2 linked regions of the Struthio camelus genome follow. The protein of the gene in region 2 purifies or fractionates together with the protein of the main gene of each other region. This does not show direct contact. Links are inferred from orthologs where the notes say so. Each region holds a gene or a part of one and is shown on either strand. Other genes may lie near its edges.

The links. Proteins that work in one complex are often made in the same cells at the same time.
Region 1: the proteins of ECD (region 2) and TSSC4 purify together in Homo sapiens (affinity purification with mass spectrometry; 3 studies listed by BioGRID and IntAct, counting the BioPlex papers as one, with this or other methods). This does not show direct contact. The link is inferred for Struthio camelus from reciprocal best matches to the Homo sapiens genes ECD and TSSC4.

Annotation. Positions count from the first base shown.
Region 1 is NC_090946.1:18,610,098-18,617,880, reverse strand, and holds TSSC4 (U5 small nuclear ribonucleoprotein TSSC4), read right to left. Parts: upstream 5,044-7,783; 5' UTR 4,920-5,043; intron 4,817-4,919; 5' UTR 4,720-4,816; exon of another isoform or gene 4,695-4,719; intron 3,888-4,694; 5' UTR 3,815-3,887; intron 2,918-3,814; 5' UTR 2,830-2,917; coding exon 1,792-2,829; 3' UTR 809-1,791; downstream 1-808. UniProt on the Homo sapiens protein: Protein associated with the U5 snRNP, during its maturation and its post-splicing recycling and which is required for spliceosomal tri-snRNP complex assembly in the nucleus.
Region 2 is NC_090948.1:40,678,988-40,686,770, reverse strand, and holds the start of ECD (protein ecdysoneless homolog), read left to right. Parts: upstream 1-3,420; 5' UTR 3,421-3,575; coding exon 3,576-3,759; intron 3,760-3,854; coding exon 3,855-3,972; intron 3,973-4,137; coding exon 4,138-4,225; intron 4,226-5,629; coding exon 5,630-5,808; intron 5,809-6,560; coding exon 6,561-6,753; intron 6,754-7,274; coding exon 7,275-7,403; intron 7,404-7,783. Other genes in the region: primary cilium assembly protein FAM149B1, read right to left, coding at 211-353, 1,388-1,520, 2,234-2,338, 3,348-3,397. UniProt on the Homo sapiens protein: Regulator of p53/TP53 stability and function. Inhibits MDM2-mediated degradation of p53/TP53 possibly by cooperating in part with TXNIP. May be involved transcriptional regulation. In vitro has intrinsic transactivation activity enhanced by EP300.

The DNA of each region.
Region 1 (7,783 bases), on a different chromosome or scaffold from region 2:
TTTTGGTATGTCCCATTCATAGGAGCTGGTACAACTGATGTACTTAGGAATGGCCCATTAATTAATGTGCATGAAAAAATATTCTAATAATCAAACATATTCTGTTTTTAAAATTAAAAAGTAAATTTCAAAAGATGGAGCAACATCACTCAGGCTCATTTTCCATTATTTTCTGCTGATAGATGATGCACCTGTTCAAACACAAAACCCCAGATGATTCTGACCTGCAAATCTGTTACTGGTAAGATGCTGGCATCCCCGTGGAGAAAATAACTTCCCCAAATATCCTCAGGAGTGTGAGCAAGCGTAACCTAGCAAGAGAAATCAAATTCCAAAGAAGTAGTCTTTCATTATGCTATTACAGGTGTTAGCACTGGGGCTGGTTAATTTAATATACTGGCAAAAAAAAAAAAAAACAAAAAAAAAAACCCCAGACCTAACTGAATCCTGAATTAATCTGAGTTTCAAATAATGTAACCTTTCAAAAAAATGTAATCTTTCAACCTCTTATATATAAAAGGAAAAAAATCTTAACAATTTACTAACATTCTGTGGGGAAAAGCTACTACATTTGATATTCATTATGGCAGTGATTCAGTGAAGCTGTTTTTTTTGTACACTGCAAAATCATCTCAATGTTAAAAATATCAATTTCAATCTCAAATTTAAGAAGTTTAGGGAAAAGTTACCAGAGCATAAGAGTAACACTGTAGAAGATTTTCAAGGCAATTTTCAAATCAAACGAACTGAGTTTGTTAAAGCTCCTGTAGCTGCATGAATATCAATACGGTTCAATGAGATGCAGAAATCAAGCTACAACTGAAAGTTTATTGACATCCAGAGAACAAAAAAAAGTATCCAGCTCTGATAATGAGTACTTCATTCCATTCCAATCCACACAACGAATCAATGTGTAAGCAGCGTCACCTGGAATAGATATACTAATGTGCAGGCCAAAAATCATCACATCACACCATACCACCAAGAGGAAAAGTTGTTGCAAAGTCTAACCTATTCAACGTGGTGGGACTTGACCAAAGTCATCCTGAATCTGCTTTCACCAGGATGTTTCCAAAGTTGTTCCTGTCCCCAGGAGACACTGAGTTTCTTTATATGTTTATCATATAACACTACTGAAATAAGTCAAGTAGTAAGACAACCTTAAAAAAATTCAGTTTGCCAGTTCCCACCTGTGTCCTAGAATGTATTTAAAAAAAAAAAAAAAGTGTGTGTGTGTGTGGGGGGGGGGTTCCTTCCTGGGACAGGGCCAAGAGAAATCGAATCCAGTGGAAGACTAGGGTTTGTTTTTTTTTTCCCCTTCCCATTCTTTAAAAATCTCTACATAATGAGCTCGTCACATTTGTTCCAGGAGTCTACAGGACTAGGGGACAAGTTCAAATTTGTGACCGAGTAGAATGACTTTATTTCATTATCCTCCTTACAGCCTTTAAGCTAACAACTTTCTCTTTGGTGTTCAGGACTACCACAGCTCCAGAGCAAGCCCCAGGGAGCTGTTCAAGTAAAGAAAGCATGCTACTTTCTCTCCTGCTAAGGTGCAGTTATCCTGTGCCCAGGGTCAAGAACAAAAAGTATGGAATGAACTTTGGGTAGCTTAATTTCTAACAATATAAAATGGACTTGGATGCTATGATGCAAACTGTTAGCTATCACCTGGTTTCCTGATCAAAAAAAAAAAAAAAAAAAAAGGGGGCTAAGAAAAAGCAAACATATCCAGAGGTGATCTCCTAGAACAATACAAGTCCTTGGATGTCTCTAGTTTTGCTCCACCCTTCAGGACTCCTCTTCCTCTTCATGGTCTACTTTAGGTCGGAAATTTTTCCTGTTCCTCTTCTTACTGCAATGGAATCCAACCGTTTCCACCAGTGGCTCTTCATCTGCATCACTAAACCTTGCACTAAGTTTACCTTCTCTGTTTAGGTCCCCCATCATCAGGCACCCCTCTTCCTCTGTTGCCTTCCCACTTGCATCGTCTAAATGCCCCAACTCTATCTTATCTTCCTCCCTCAAGTCATCAGTCTTCTTAGGAGATTTTCCTCTCAGATCTGTTTTTGTGTGTTTCTTATGATCCTCCCCTGCTGACACTTTCTTTTCCAGTCCATCAACGCCCCTTTTTGTTGGTTTGGTGAAGATAATCCTTCCAGCACCACAGCTGGAGGGGTCCTGGTTGAAGTATGGGGTGTAGCTATCGTGGGCAGCTGAGCTTTGTTCCTCTCCTCTTTTCTTCAAACCCTCTAGAAACTCCATGGCCACTGCCCTGTTAGTCTTGTCATTAGACTCTGAAACGCCATCTAGGCTATACTTGGTCCAGCGCTCTGGGTGTGCCACATAGTCAGGAACTGCAGCAGAAATTTTGGGAGCCTGCACTGGTTTGGTTTGTTTTCCAGGGCTTTCTGGAACCATGTTACTTGAAACAGTAGTTGGAGGCAAAGGACGTTTAAACCTACCATCAACAACATTATCTTCAGGCAATGAGGGCACAGACAGTTTGGCTGCCTCTTCCAAGCAATCAAAAATGCTCTGGCTACGGAGAGAGAATGTAGAACTCATGCCTCTCAAGTGGAATGGCTGGATGGGAGATTTACAACGGCTGTTTGAAGAGTCGGAGGTCTCCCCTGATTGGTAACCCCCATCATCTACAGATGGCTCCTCAGGAGATATTGTATCAACTTCAGCTTCATCCGCTAACCCAAAGTCATCGGAATCAGAATCGCTGAGTGATACTGTGTCAGAGGGCAGAACTCCTTCGTAGTCTGTGGTACCACCAGCCACTATACCCAGAAAGGGTTCACCTGCATCTTGATCTCCCATCTTTGGGCTGTCACTCCACTGATGTCTATGATGTAGGTCCAGGAACACCAGCAAATATGGTTTTCCAAATACCCAACGAATGTAACGCCTAGAATGCAAGGAGTTCAAAAATTCAACTGTGATACAAGTACCATACGTATCACTCTTAACTTAATAATCGGTCCTGCTGTAACCATTGTTTACATGGCACAGGTTATCAGCATCAAGTTTTTGAGCAAATCCACATGACTGTCTTATACGCTACTTCCAGCAATGACCTGTCCAGACTACACCCTATGTTTACCGTACTGTATAAATCCAACAGAAATATACCCTAATCTCTCACTTACTTTGGCTGCTATTTTCCTTTGCTGCACTAGCACTACGCCTTGTGCCAATAAGCAGTGTATTCATTATACTGTCTGTTACAAAGAACACTCTCACTGATCAAGGTCAGTGAGAGAGAAGTTTATAAAACAGCACGGCTATAGCTTCATTTTTTCTTTACTGATATAAAGCACAGGCTTCATTCCTTCCCTGACTTTAAGCTCTGTCACGTCATTACTAGGTTTCAGGGATCATGTGATGAGCCAGCTCAAGGACTTAATCTAATTGGATTAGGAAAACTAATCACACATGCCTTGCTTGTGCTAACACAGTGGAAGCAAGGGGAGCCTGCAACTGAGGCTCAACAAGAGCTGGCCCTTCACTCAGTAAAAACAAACTGTGAAACCGAAGCCTGAGTTCCAGTACAGGCTGGAATACCAGATTCGCTCTGTCTTCCGACAGAAGGGAACTCTCCATAACCGGAGATGGTTGCTGTTCACGCTGCCACTTGCTGGGCAATAAGAAGCGGAGCTGGTGAATATGCACCTCAGTTCAGCTCACAAAAACATGAGATAAGGAAATAGTTCTAGTATATTACTAGAATAAGCTCAACTACATAATTATGGGTTATTTTCAAACAATGCAGTAAACAGACATAGAAAGTCTGTTAGTCACTCACTTTCTCTTGAGACTGAGTCAGCTTCCCCTCCTGAGGGTCAGTTAAAGCCATCAACGATACAAGCACTTCCACCCTAGAAAACAAACATTTCCATTACAATATTGGAAATGTAGTTTTAGCATGAGCTTTAAAAATAATTCCTTCTCTCTGAATCATCCAAAACTGCAGAACTGATTTCTAAATCTGACATAAGCTCACGCTAATATACAAGTCTGCAGATATTCCCGGATTCTTGGCAAAAGAACAACGCGCTCCCTAATAAGGCTGGCACCGCTACATTTACTCAGTCTCCACGCTCACGCTGCCCGCCTTAAGAGTCTGTAGAACGGGAGACAGCCTTTTAAAAAAAATAACACTGTCATTTGCACGAGCAGTAAACCGTCAAGAGGTGAACTATGTTACATACGGCCAAGAAAAATATCAAATGGACGCTTATGCGTTACGAGCACTTAAACGCTGCAAAAAGAAAAAAAAAAGAAAAAAGAGAGAGACCAAGGCTAGCCCAGGCCCACACAGCAGAGACCCAGGCTAGCCCAGGCCTGTGTTTTCAAAGCAAGGCCGTATTCACAATCTGGGCCAGATTTCTACCAGGCGTTAAAACACAGAGCAACTTCTCAAGAAGGCAGCAGCCCGAGCGGTGCGTTGCACACGCAGCCCAGCTGCCTTGGGCAAGGCGAGCGGATGACTGCTTTTAAAAGCACGGCCCCTGCTGCCACTGCTACATGGCCAACGGCCGGCTGAAACCCCTTACGCCCTTCCGGTTCAGCTGCCGTAGCACGTGAGAGAAGCGGCTGCCACCCAGGAGAGCCCAGGAAAAGGCAGGAGCGACTGAAACGACTGCTTGCAGGCGGCACCGTGCGCGTCGGGGGAGTCACGGTACCTCCTAGCCGAGGTCAGCTACCCACCGGTCGGCGAGGGCGGCGTCAGCCCGCCGCAGCCCGGCGGCTCCCTGGCCGGGAAGGGCCCCCTCACGCTCCTCCATGCGGCCGCAGGCCTCTCCCCCTGCAGCCAAGGCAGAACACACACGCCATCACCCCCACGCCGTGGCCGGCAGCCCTCCCCGCCCTTCGCCGTTGCCTCTCCCGCCGGGCCCGCAGCCCCCTACCACAACCCGCCGCCACCCCAACGGCTCCTCGCAGCAACCGCCCGCGTCCTGCCCGCGCGGCGCACGCTGGGACACCGAGTCCCTGCCGCGTGAGGCGGCGCGGCGGCGGGCGGCGCTGGGACTACAACCCCCAGCAGGCAAAGCGGAGCGGGGGGGGGGAAGGCGGGAAGGCACCACCCAGGCCTCACCCGCCCCTCGCCCCTTTGCATGCTGGGAGCTGTAGTTCGCCCGCTTGCCCCCAGGTGGGGGACATTTTGCGAGCTGGGGCCCTCCGCGGGACGCGGCGCGGCGGGACTACGGCTCCCGGGGTGCACCGCGAGCGGCGCCCGCTGCTCTCCGCCGCCATTTTGCAGGCTGTGGGGAGGCGGGCGCGCTGCTGGCGCAGTGCCCTGCGGCCCGGGCAGCAATGGCAGGGCCGGCCCCGCCGTCGCGGTGTGCGGGGCCGGAGCGGGGTCCCGGCCGCCCCCGCCTGCCCGGCAAGCGTCGAGCTCGCCGCCTAACGGCCCCGCGGCGAGCCGGCCCCTCGGAGGGCACCGCCGCCGCCTCCCGAGCATCCCCGCAGCCGCCTGGCAGAAACACGTCCAGCAGAGCCTTTTTTCTCATCGGAAAAGTAGGCGTTTGGCCACAGTGAAAATGTCAGAGGAAGTGTCTGGTGTTTGTTTTGTTTTTGGTTTTTTTTTTTAATTTGTATGTATTTATTTTTCAACCAGAAGACTTCCAAGTCACTAGAGGCATAAAACCAGTGTCCAGCCAAAAAAAGAAAGTTTCCATTTTCTGTCCCAGAAGAACATAATGTGTATGCTTGGAAAAGTGGAATTCTTTCTAAAAATGTTTTATTGGTTTTGGCCAAAGGTGCTTGATTTTTTTTTTCCCCTCGTTCAGTGAAAAGTTTAAATTTCCAGTGAAAATAGACTTCTCAAGTGACTTCAATATTTAGCTCATTTACAGTGTGTTCAGGAAAAAAAAGAGCAAGGTTTGTTCTTTGAGTGCCATACACGCAGCATGCGGTACAGAAGTTTGCAGGATTTTCCTTTTTCCCTCCACCCTTCCGCAGGGTCACGCACCCTTACTGCGTCGCATGATTGTGGGGGCTTCGTCATTAAATGGAATTAAATTAATGCCTACAAAGGGTCTGAGCTGCTAAAGGTCAGGCCTTTACTTAATCGGGTTGCCCAGCAGTGAAGGATTAAGAGAAACATAGGACTTAGTCCAGGCCTTGTAGATGATTTATATCATCGTTTTGCAACAAAAGACAGAACTGTTGGTGGAGTCCTACCATTTTGGATTTTGGTGGCACCTTTTTTTCCACAGCATCCAAACCCTGTTTCATCTCGGTTTCTTTGCCAAAAGGTAAGTTTGTGTCTGTGTCCTAAAAGACTTCACAGAAGCCCTTCAAGAGGGGCCTCGCTGTGAGTCATCTGTAATATAAGCTGCAGCCATTTGTATTGTGAGTTTTAAAATATATATACACTTTTGCCTTCTGGAGTGTTGCTCACTACAGTAATTTATGAGATGAGTAATTTATGAGATGAGAGCTGTGTTTGGAATACGTTTGGCAGCAGTAACAAGGTTAGCACAAAATGTCTTTCGTCTGGCCGGAGCTGTGCTGCAGTTTTAAATCAACAGTTCTAGAGGTGTTTCCCCATTTGGTGATCCTTTTTGAAAATAGTGTGATCACAGCCATTAAAATGGGTTCCTGGCTGGAGGGAGGAAGAGCGGAAGAGTTCTCTGGTACATCAGCAGGAGCAGGTATGGGGAGGGTAGTAAACAGGCAAGGAAACCATCTGAAAGGGGAAATAAGACTAAAACACAGGTAAAGTCTGTGTAACACTGTGTAGCATGTCAGGGACGTACCAGGAGTGAATCTCGGAGAGTAAAAAGGAGGAGGCAAGGAAAGGATGTGGAGTAGGCAGTGGCATATCCCTTTTTTTTGTAAGGGTGGAGACAAAGAAGGTCTGGTGCAAATGGATGAAATGGTTTAAAACCTGGTTGTAATGCTACGTTAGTTAGGAGCTCAGGAGGGCAGAAAAGGGCTACGCCACCTCCAGTCTCTCCATCATCCACGAATCCGGGTGCCTTCAGGGACAAGCCCCATTCCTAGATTTGTGGAGGCCACTGGCATTGCTAGGCTTAGTCACTGCTCAGTTTTCACCTGGAAGCTATGTCTGTTAATGGCCAAAGTCACCTTCAGAAGCTGGCTGTACCCATTTTCTCCTTCCTGCCTTTTTGCAGAAGATCAGTACCACACACTGCAGCAATCCGGGGATGAGCTACTTTTTTCTGGTGACTGAGGACAAGGCAGTTTGTAGTGGTGGATATACTGGTGTGTTGGGATTTTTTTGCTATTGCTTGGTGACAGCTGAAATAAAAATAATGAGTCAGGCCCTGAAGATGAACAGATGGTAAAGCGTTTTCCGCTAGCCAATATGAACTAAGGTGGCTTGAAGAGGGATGAGGGGCTGGATCGCGGCTCTAACTGTGGTGCGGGAAATCATCCAAATGAGGGCGGCGTGTTCTGTGTGCAAGCTCCAAGGAGCCAGCTCCACCACGGCGTGGGCTTCTTGGAGGAGGTGGCCCTGTGCGCCTGCAGGAAGCCAGCACCTCCCTGCATGCGGGGGTGGCCTGTGCGAATGCATACACATCACAGCCCTGCTGGTGGGAGCTTCATGCTCCTTTCTTGCAAACGCATCTGTCAGTTGGTGCCCATCTGGTAACAGGTTCTGCTACTCAGCCGGCAGGTTCCTGCTGCTTCTGCTGTCAGAGGCCAGGGTAGACGCTGGCAGGCAGTTCCTGCCCCTGTCCTCATGGCTATTGGAAAGGGGCAATTCCTCAGAAATGGGGGAAGCTCCTTATGGTGGGACTGC
Region 2 (7,783 bases):
AAGGAACGAAATGTGAGATAGCAGAATGTTTATTAATGACAGCAGCAGGCAGACTACTAAAGCGATCTTTATCTCCATCTACTGTATCCTTGCATAAAATCACCCTGCTACTAACAGTGTTTCAAAAAACAGCTCTTAGAATTATAAAAGAGCAAGAGCAGCCATGCTGTGATGCTACTTTCATTAGTCTAAAAAAATGAAATGAAAAACCTGAGATGAGGAAAGCTGGAAGTCCACTGCTGACATTCTTCCTGCAGTCCCTCAACATGTACATTTTCTTTTTGTTCATAAAGAAGCTCATCAATTTGTCTGAACATTTGCTGAACCTGTCGTGTGGCAGCTTTATCAAATTCCTGGAAAGGAAAGTTATCCAATAAAAACCTAGTGAATGGTATTTGGAGTTTTTTTTTTAATTGACATTTTTAAAATTGAAAAGACACCTGTTTGTTTAAAGCTTAGCAGGATGGATTTAAACAGCAATGACCTCCACTGCATTTAAAGACGTTAACTTTAAATAATTTTTCACTGGGAGATGATGCAGACCACTGCTGGGGTCGATGGTAGCTACATAAAAAGCTTAAATTGACGCAACAGAAAACCTATTAAAACATTTTGAAATGTCTACATTATTAAGTTAGAGACATAATAATTTGCATAAAACATACCCGAACACAAAGGATAAAATTCAGCAAGATTTTAATGAAATGGAAAGTTCGTTGCTTGTATTGTCCACAGATGACACCAAAACAAAAAGCAATGCAGACCGGTGTAAAACACTATGCAGCGAAGGATGATCACGATCTTTGCTAAATGTTGTCGTGTTGCTAGAAAATGGTTCTTGAGTAATTCAAATCTGAACAGTTCCCCATCTTTACCTCACAGAAAGCAATAGCATCCTTTGTTTTGGCAGACGGGGAATAAAGGACATTTTTTAAATTAAAATAATGTTTTAGGGCATTACTATATTTTGAGAAACATACAAATATCCACAAGTTTTCTTAAATCTGAAGTTTGAGAAACGCAAAGCATATGAAAATCATCCACTCACATTTAGGATTCCACAATAATAGCATTAATGTTGTGTATGTACATATGTGTGAATATGTGTGTGTGAGTGCATATGCATTAAATATATTTGCACCATCAACTCTTTAGACCGGGAACGCAGAATACTAATTGCATATGAATTGACTACAAATCGAGTATGTTCTGATCTAAGAGGAAGGGAAAGACGGAGGTCAAAACAATGCTTTTCCTATAACCACTGTCATTGCTTTATTTACAGATCCAGTGCTCATCTTTACCCTGAAATGTACTTCCAATGGCATTTCAAGTGTCTTTCAACTCGCTGTGCTGGATTTGGTTTGGATGATTACGTTCTACTCACATCACAGCCCCAAGAGAAGACTGAGCTGTCTTCAGTGGTGGTTCCTGCATAGCTCTGACTAACAGACCATGAATTCCCATGATCGGTTGGAGTAACAGAAGGGTAATCTGTTTCCTTCGAAATTTCAGATTCACTGAAATGCACACATTGAGAAAAAAGGAAGAAGAAAAAAAGCAATAATCACAGAATCACAAACAAGTGGGTAAGTAAACTTTTCTTTCTGTACAAAAGAGCACAGATATATCAGAACAGGTCTCAGCAACCCTCCTCTAAGAACAGTTTTCAAACGGTAAATATTTAAATTAGAGGCACTTAAGCAGAAACCATAGTATGTGTTACTCTAGGTTGGAACTGTAATTCTTAATAACCTCACTGACATAGGAAGTCTAGGGGGTCAGGCTTTCAAACATTAATTTTCCAAAAATTATCTTAGTTACTCTGCAGACAATTTCTAGTTCCAGTTCTACATCACTCAAGAATTATTCTTCCCCTTTCCCTCTTGTTTCTGGCATACAATTAAGATGCCATTTACAGGCTGGGAACAGAACACAGTAAAAACACTGATTATTATTTCCAAAATGCATCTGCGCCGCAGCACATATCCTGGGGCTTGCAAAATGTACCACACTGTCTAATGGAACTGAAATAGAGGTCCACCATCTCAAAAACCTGAGGCTGCAACCCTGCCTCTTGAGTACCCACAGAAAGGACATGTTCTGAAACGCTACAGTCAGGAGTTAAAGCCTAAGCCTAACTGTATTACTCTGGCACTTCTGTGACGGAGTAACACCGAAGTGACTGTTCCTCTATTGTCTCCAGAGATACATTTTATGTTATTACCAGTACCTTGAGGTCTCCCCATAGCTTTTGACAGTGGGTGCAGCTGGGTGGACCTCAGCTCGTGGTTCTGGCAGGGGATGCTGCTGCAAGGCATGTTTTGTAAGTCCTTGTCTAAAACAGAGAAGTGGAAGTTAGAAAAATAAACACCTGCAGAGTTCCAAAGTGTTACAGTTTGTTGTTGTTGGGTTTTTTTTGGCTCTTGAAGGAATGCACTCATTTGCATACCTGACCTCATTTATTGTTAAAAGGCTAGTTCCTGTTATCAAAGCTTTAGAACTGAGATGAAAACTAACTCCAGGCTAAACACGGAGTTAAAGGGCTTTGCTTAGAAAGCAGTATCTTCCTTTACAGTAAACTTAAAATACTGTTGTGAACTGGGTTACAGCTCTGTAAAAGCAGATGTAACATAGCTGTCCCCCCAGGCGACCTGTAATCACACAGAACAACACTGGCCTCTAAACTCAAGCACAGGCAAAATAAGGGAAAACGGTATTTGCTAGTTTTTGTTTTGTTAAAATTTAGATGTCTAGGAAAAAGAGACAAGAAAAGGCAGAGCAGTAGGAGAGAGAGAAGTGCAGGAAGGCAACTACGGTGAATAGCTCTGGGAAGAAAGATCAAAGATCAAACAAAAAAAAAAGAAAAAAAAAAGAACAAAGCACGTCTTTATCCCGAGTACCGGCCGAAGAAGCCCTCTCTTCTGTGATACCTCTGGTGTTGGAGAGAGCAAGGCTACCGAAGTAAACAACACCGCATCAAAGGAGCTAACTACCAAAACCTAGGTATTTTCCTATACCCCCCCTCCCCGGGAAAAAAAAAAAAAAAAGCATCAGTTACCCCCTGGGTCAAAAAGAGGCAATTTAAGTTAATCACCTCCTACCAAACCTGCCTTTCCCGGTAGTGACAACGCGCGGGCACCGCCGCGCTCAGCCCGTCAGGAGGCTGCCCGTATCCCGGCCCCCTCCCGCGGCCCCAGCGTTACCCGGCGCAGCCCCCCGGCCCCGTTTCGGCGGCCGCCCAGCAGGCCCGAGCGCGGGGCCTGGCCGGGCGCGGCGGAGCCCGGGGGCGGCGCGGGGGAAGCCGCGGCGGGGCCGGGGGGGGGGGCAGAGCGGCGGCCACTCACTTCTGCCGGGCGCCGGGGGGCACCGGCTTGCGCGCGTATCGCGAGATCATCCTCCGCCCGCCTCGCCTCAGCTCAGCTCAGCTCAGCGCGGCAGCGGCAACGCCGCCGCCCGCCGCCTCCCCGCCATGGCGACGCTCCTCCCCGCCCCGCCCCGCCCCGCCCCGCGCCGCGCCGGGGAGGCGGAGCGGCACTGCGCGGCCCTGCGCAGCACGGCTCGGCCCTGCGCTCATGGAGGGCGGCCGGCGGGCCGCGCTGGCGGAGGACGCCGTGCGCTACCGCCTCTTCCCGGTGGCGGGCGGCGAGGCGCCCCTCCGCCGCTGCGCCGACAGGATCCTGCTGCGCTTCGCGCCGCTCCTGGCCGCCTACATCTGGCAGCGGCAGCCCTTCCGGCTGCGCTGCCTGCCGGCTCGCGGTGAGCAGCGCCGCCGCGCCGCGCCGCGCCCGTTAGCGGGGCCTCGAGCCGCCTCTCATCATCTCCTCTCCCTTCCCCCCCCCCCCCCCGGGCAGGCGACACCCCGGCGCACATCGGCGGCACCACGCTGTTCGGGGATAACGTGGAGGACGAGTGGTTCATCGTCTACCTCGTGCGCGAGATCACCAGGCAGTTCCCGGAGCTGGCCGCCAGGTAGGGGGGCGGGGCGGGGCGGGGCGGCCAACGGCCGACAGCGGCCAACGGCCAACGGCCAACGGCCGCGCTGGGGGGGGAGCGGCCTCCCGCCCAGGGGTTGGAGCGCCGAGGGCGGGCCCCCTGAGCCCGCCTGCCGGCAGAGCCCCCTTTCTCCCTGGCCAGGGTTGACGACAACGACGGGGAGTTTCTGCTGATAGAAGCTGCTGATTTCCTGCCGAAGGGGCTGAATCCCGAGAACAGTGAAAACCGGGTGAGTTCAGGGCTTTCCTGCAAATGAGCAGGTGTACGGGAGACTTAACCGCTGGCCGGCTCTGACGCTTGTTTTTGCCCCGCGTGCTCCTACAGGATGCTAGGTAAAATGAATGAGAAACTGCTGTAGGAACATCTAAAAGTGCTGCAGCTATCGAGTGGTTCTTCTAGAGTCGTTTTTTCAAAGCCCTCGTGCGCTCGAGTCAGAGGAGGAAAAAAGAGAGCTTTCTTCTACTCATAACGTGACGCTCGCGCAGAGACTCGAGACCTGCCTGAGAGCCTCTGAATCCCTCTTGATTAGCTAGATCTGATTCTTGCACATAAATCAGCCTTTCAGGGTTGTTAACTGACTTGGCTTCTGTAAACCTACCGTTAGTGTTGGCTAAAACAGTGCAATTGCGAAGACAGAGAAGGTGTCATGCTGTTTATTAATCTATAAAACCAGTTTGATAGTCTCCTTCCCGTTATCTAGGTTACTGGAGTGCTAGGAAAATTTAGATAATATGGGAACTGCGGAATATATTTGTTATGCACGCATGCCATATTGCTTTCCTGAGGAGCACTCTTGCCCCTGTGTGAGCTTTCTAGCTCGGGTATAGCCGCTTGAGTTTTTCTACCATGTAGTGCTCAGGCTGCACATGTAGTGCAGCCTGGGGAACGCTCAAGACTGGAGCGTCTCTGACTCTACAGGTTGACAGCCTGGGTCTGGCGTAGCTGAACCGATGAGCTGACTCCTTCGCCAGAGTCTGCAGCTGAATCACCTCACCGTAGATGATTGTCAGTGGATTATGTCACTGAATTTCTTACCTACAGATTTGAATGGAAAGAACTTACTTCTTCGTTAGCGGAGAATTTTTGTGTACTCCTCCAAGGCAGTTAAAAAGAGAAAGGAGGCGGGGGAAGACACAACACAAAAATGAATCACAAACCCTTAACTGGATTATTAGTACCATGTTCTCCTTCCATTTCAAGGATTGGGAGGTGACAATGCTAGATCCAGCTGTTCTTCTCTTAGGCTAAGAAAACAGCAGAGGTCACATGTCAGAGGCACCCGAAATGGTGCTCTTCAGTCATTGTCCTGTTCTTCAGCAGCTAGGTTATTTTGCTGTCAGGTTCTCCTGAAGTGGATCTCCAATTTAAGAGAAACTTTTGGTACGGCAGTTATTAAAGAAACAAGATTTATGTGATCAAACCTGTTGCTGCTATTAAAATAGCCTTTATTTAGTGGTTAGGTCATGGTCTTCAGTGCCTGTATGTACTTCATGCTGTTTCCTGTGTTATTTCAATATTCGTACTCCAGTATTCTCTGCGTTTAAACAAACACGTTCATCTATGAAAAGAAATTTTGCATTGGTCAGTCTGTGACTGTTTTTACCCTTCTGATGAAAACGTTACTGTCTGCCAGGTATTCTTTTACAAAGGTGAGCTGCACATCATTCCACTGCCGGAGACTCATGGGCAGGAATGGGAGCTACCTGCTTCCAGTCCGACAATCTCACAGGCGTTAACGTTGTTATCCACCCGTGCGGAGGAGTGTCTGGCCGCAAAACCCATTAGAACGGCCGTGTATAAACGCATCAGTGGGTACGTGGATGGTTTATGGTGTTCTGTAGCCGCTGATTCTTGGCTCTCTGGGGTACTTTCTTTCCTTGCATTCGGTCGTTTTCCTGTTCACTGTGCTAAAGCTGCTTCCTTTTCTGAAGCCCCAGGGAGAGTTTTTCTGTGGCGTTCTTTGGGGGGAGGCGGCACAGTCACGTAAACTGTAACCTTGTCTGGGGGCTCAGGTAGAGGTTCAATGTGATGATGCCGCACCTGACAGTGGTAGGAGTTACTCCACATCCTTCCCATACTAATTGGTGAGGAAATCTGAAAATTGTCTGAGTCCTCTGGGGGAAGAGGCAATCCTGAACAACGGTGCAGAACCAGCATGCTTTTCAGAGCATCAGCTCACTCTCTGAAATGGTCAGCAGTACATGTAATTTTCTGCAAGGATGTGACAGCCTGAGCCAGATGACCTCTGCAGTCAGCACAGTGAAGGAAGCTGCGTAGCTGGACATATTAGTTCAATTCACAGTGATGCTTTTTACCAATGTGGGGATTAAATTTTTCTTAGCTATATATTTTTATTTCTCTTTTTTTTTTTTTTTTTAAGTGAATCTTGTTTAGGCGTTCCATCTGGTAGATTAGCTGAGTTTTAACTTTATTTCAGAATAATCTTCTTGTACTCGGCCCATAGTACAGACTAATATTAAAGTAAAAATGGAAACAGTAATTAAAAAGGAGTGGTTTGGTCTTGCAATACACTTAATACACTATATTGCTATCATACGATACAGGTATCCTGAGAAAATTCAGGCCTCGTTTCACCGAGCCCACTGCTACCTCCCGGCAGGCATTGTGGCAGTGCTTAGGCAGCGCCCTTCGTTGGTGGCTGCAGCAGTCCAGGCCTTTTACCTGCGAGATCCCATAGATTTGCGAGCGTGTCGCTCTTTTCGGACTTTCCCTCCGGATGAGCGTGTGATGACTGTAGTAAGTGATGCTTCTAATTCAACTTGTTATCACTGAATTAAGTTCTGTTACTGATGGAGGTTCTGTGGTCAAGTTAGATAAATGTATGGGTTTCATTTTTAAAATAGCACGTTTTCTGATTTTCTCTTTTGACACTAGCCATGGATTTCCAGTTGATTATGTTAATAGCTTTGCTGCCTTCAGATTGATGTGGCTAGGCTTTCAAACGGGCTAAACGCCAGAGAAGAATTTCTGAAGTCGGAGGACACTACTGCTAAAAGTTCCTCTGCTAAAATGTATTTAGATCTAACAAAGTTCGTATTTATTTAGAGATGTTACCATCTTTGAATATACTGTGTAAAATCTAAGAAGTGACACATCTTAGACAAATACATCTGTCAACTTCTAAATACCATCTGACAGATTGTCTGTAGTATGGATGCTTTAAAATACAATTCAGATGGCAGAGTGTGAAAGGTGATGCCCATATAGAACACGGTCGCGCTGCAGCGAGTGTTTTTCTTTTGCTCTGCTGTTTTCAGGTTACTTTCACAAAGTGTTTATATGCACAACTAATGCAGCAGAAGTTTGTTCCAGACAGACGCAGTGGATACACGCTGCCCCCGCCATCCCACCCTCAGTACAAAGCCCATGAACTGGGCATGAAACTGGTAATTATTATCTTTTTTTTTTTTTTTATGCGTTGTGTACTTAGTCTGTTTAGTTTGTTTGTTTAGAGGTGTCGAAGAAATGACACTTTGCGGGTTGTCTGCTTCAACAGGAAGATGTAAGCAAACTGGCAATTGCAATTTTTGTAGAAATATGATATTAAGTATTCTGGGAGTTTTCTTTTATAGAGCACTTTTGTACTCTAGAAACTGTTCCAATCGGGACTTACGGGTTTGTGTTGCCATAGCTGACCTGGTGTCAAATCCAGTTAATTTTCCCTAAATGAATATGAAAAGTAGCATCCATCTCAAGGTAGACGAGATCGGTTTTAGCGTCTGCCTGAAGTAGCACATCCTGTCATGTTTTAAGTTGCTGTTTACGG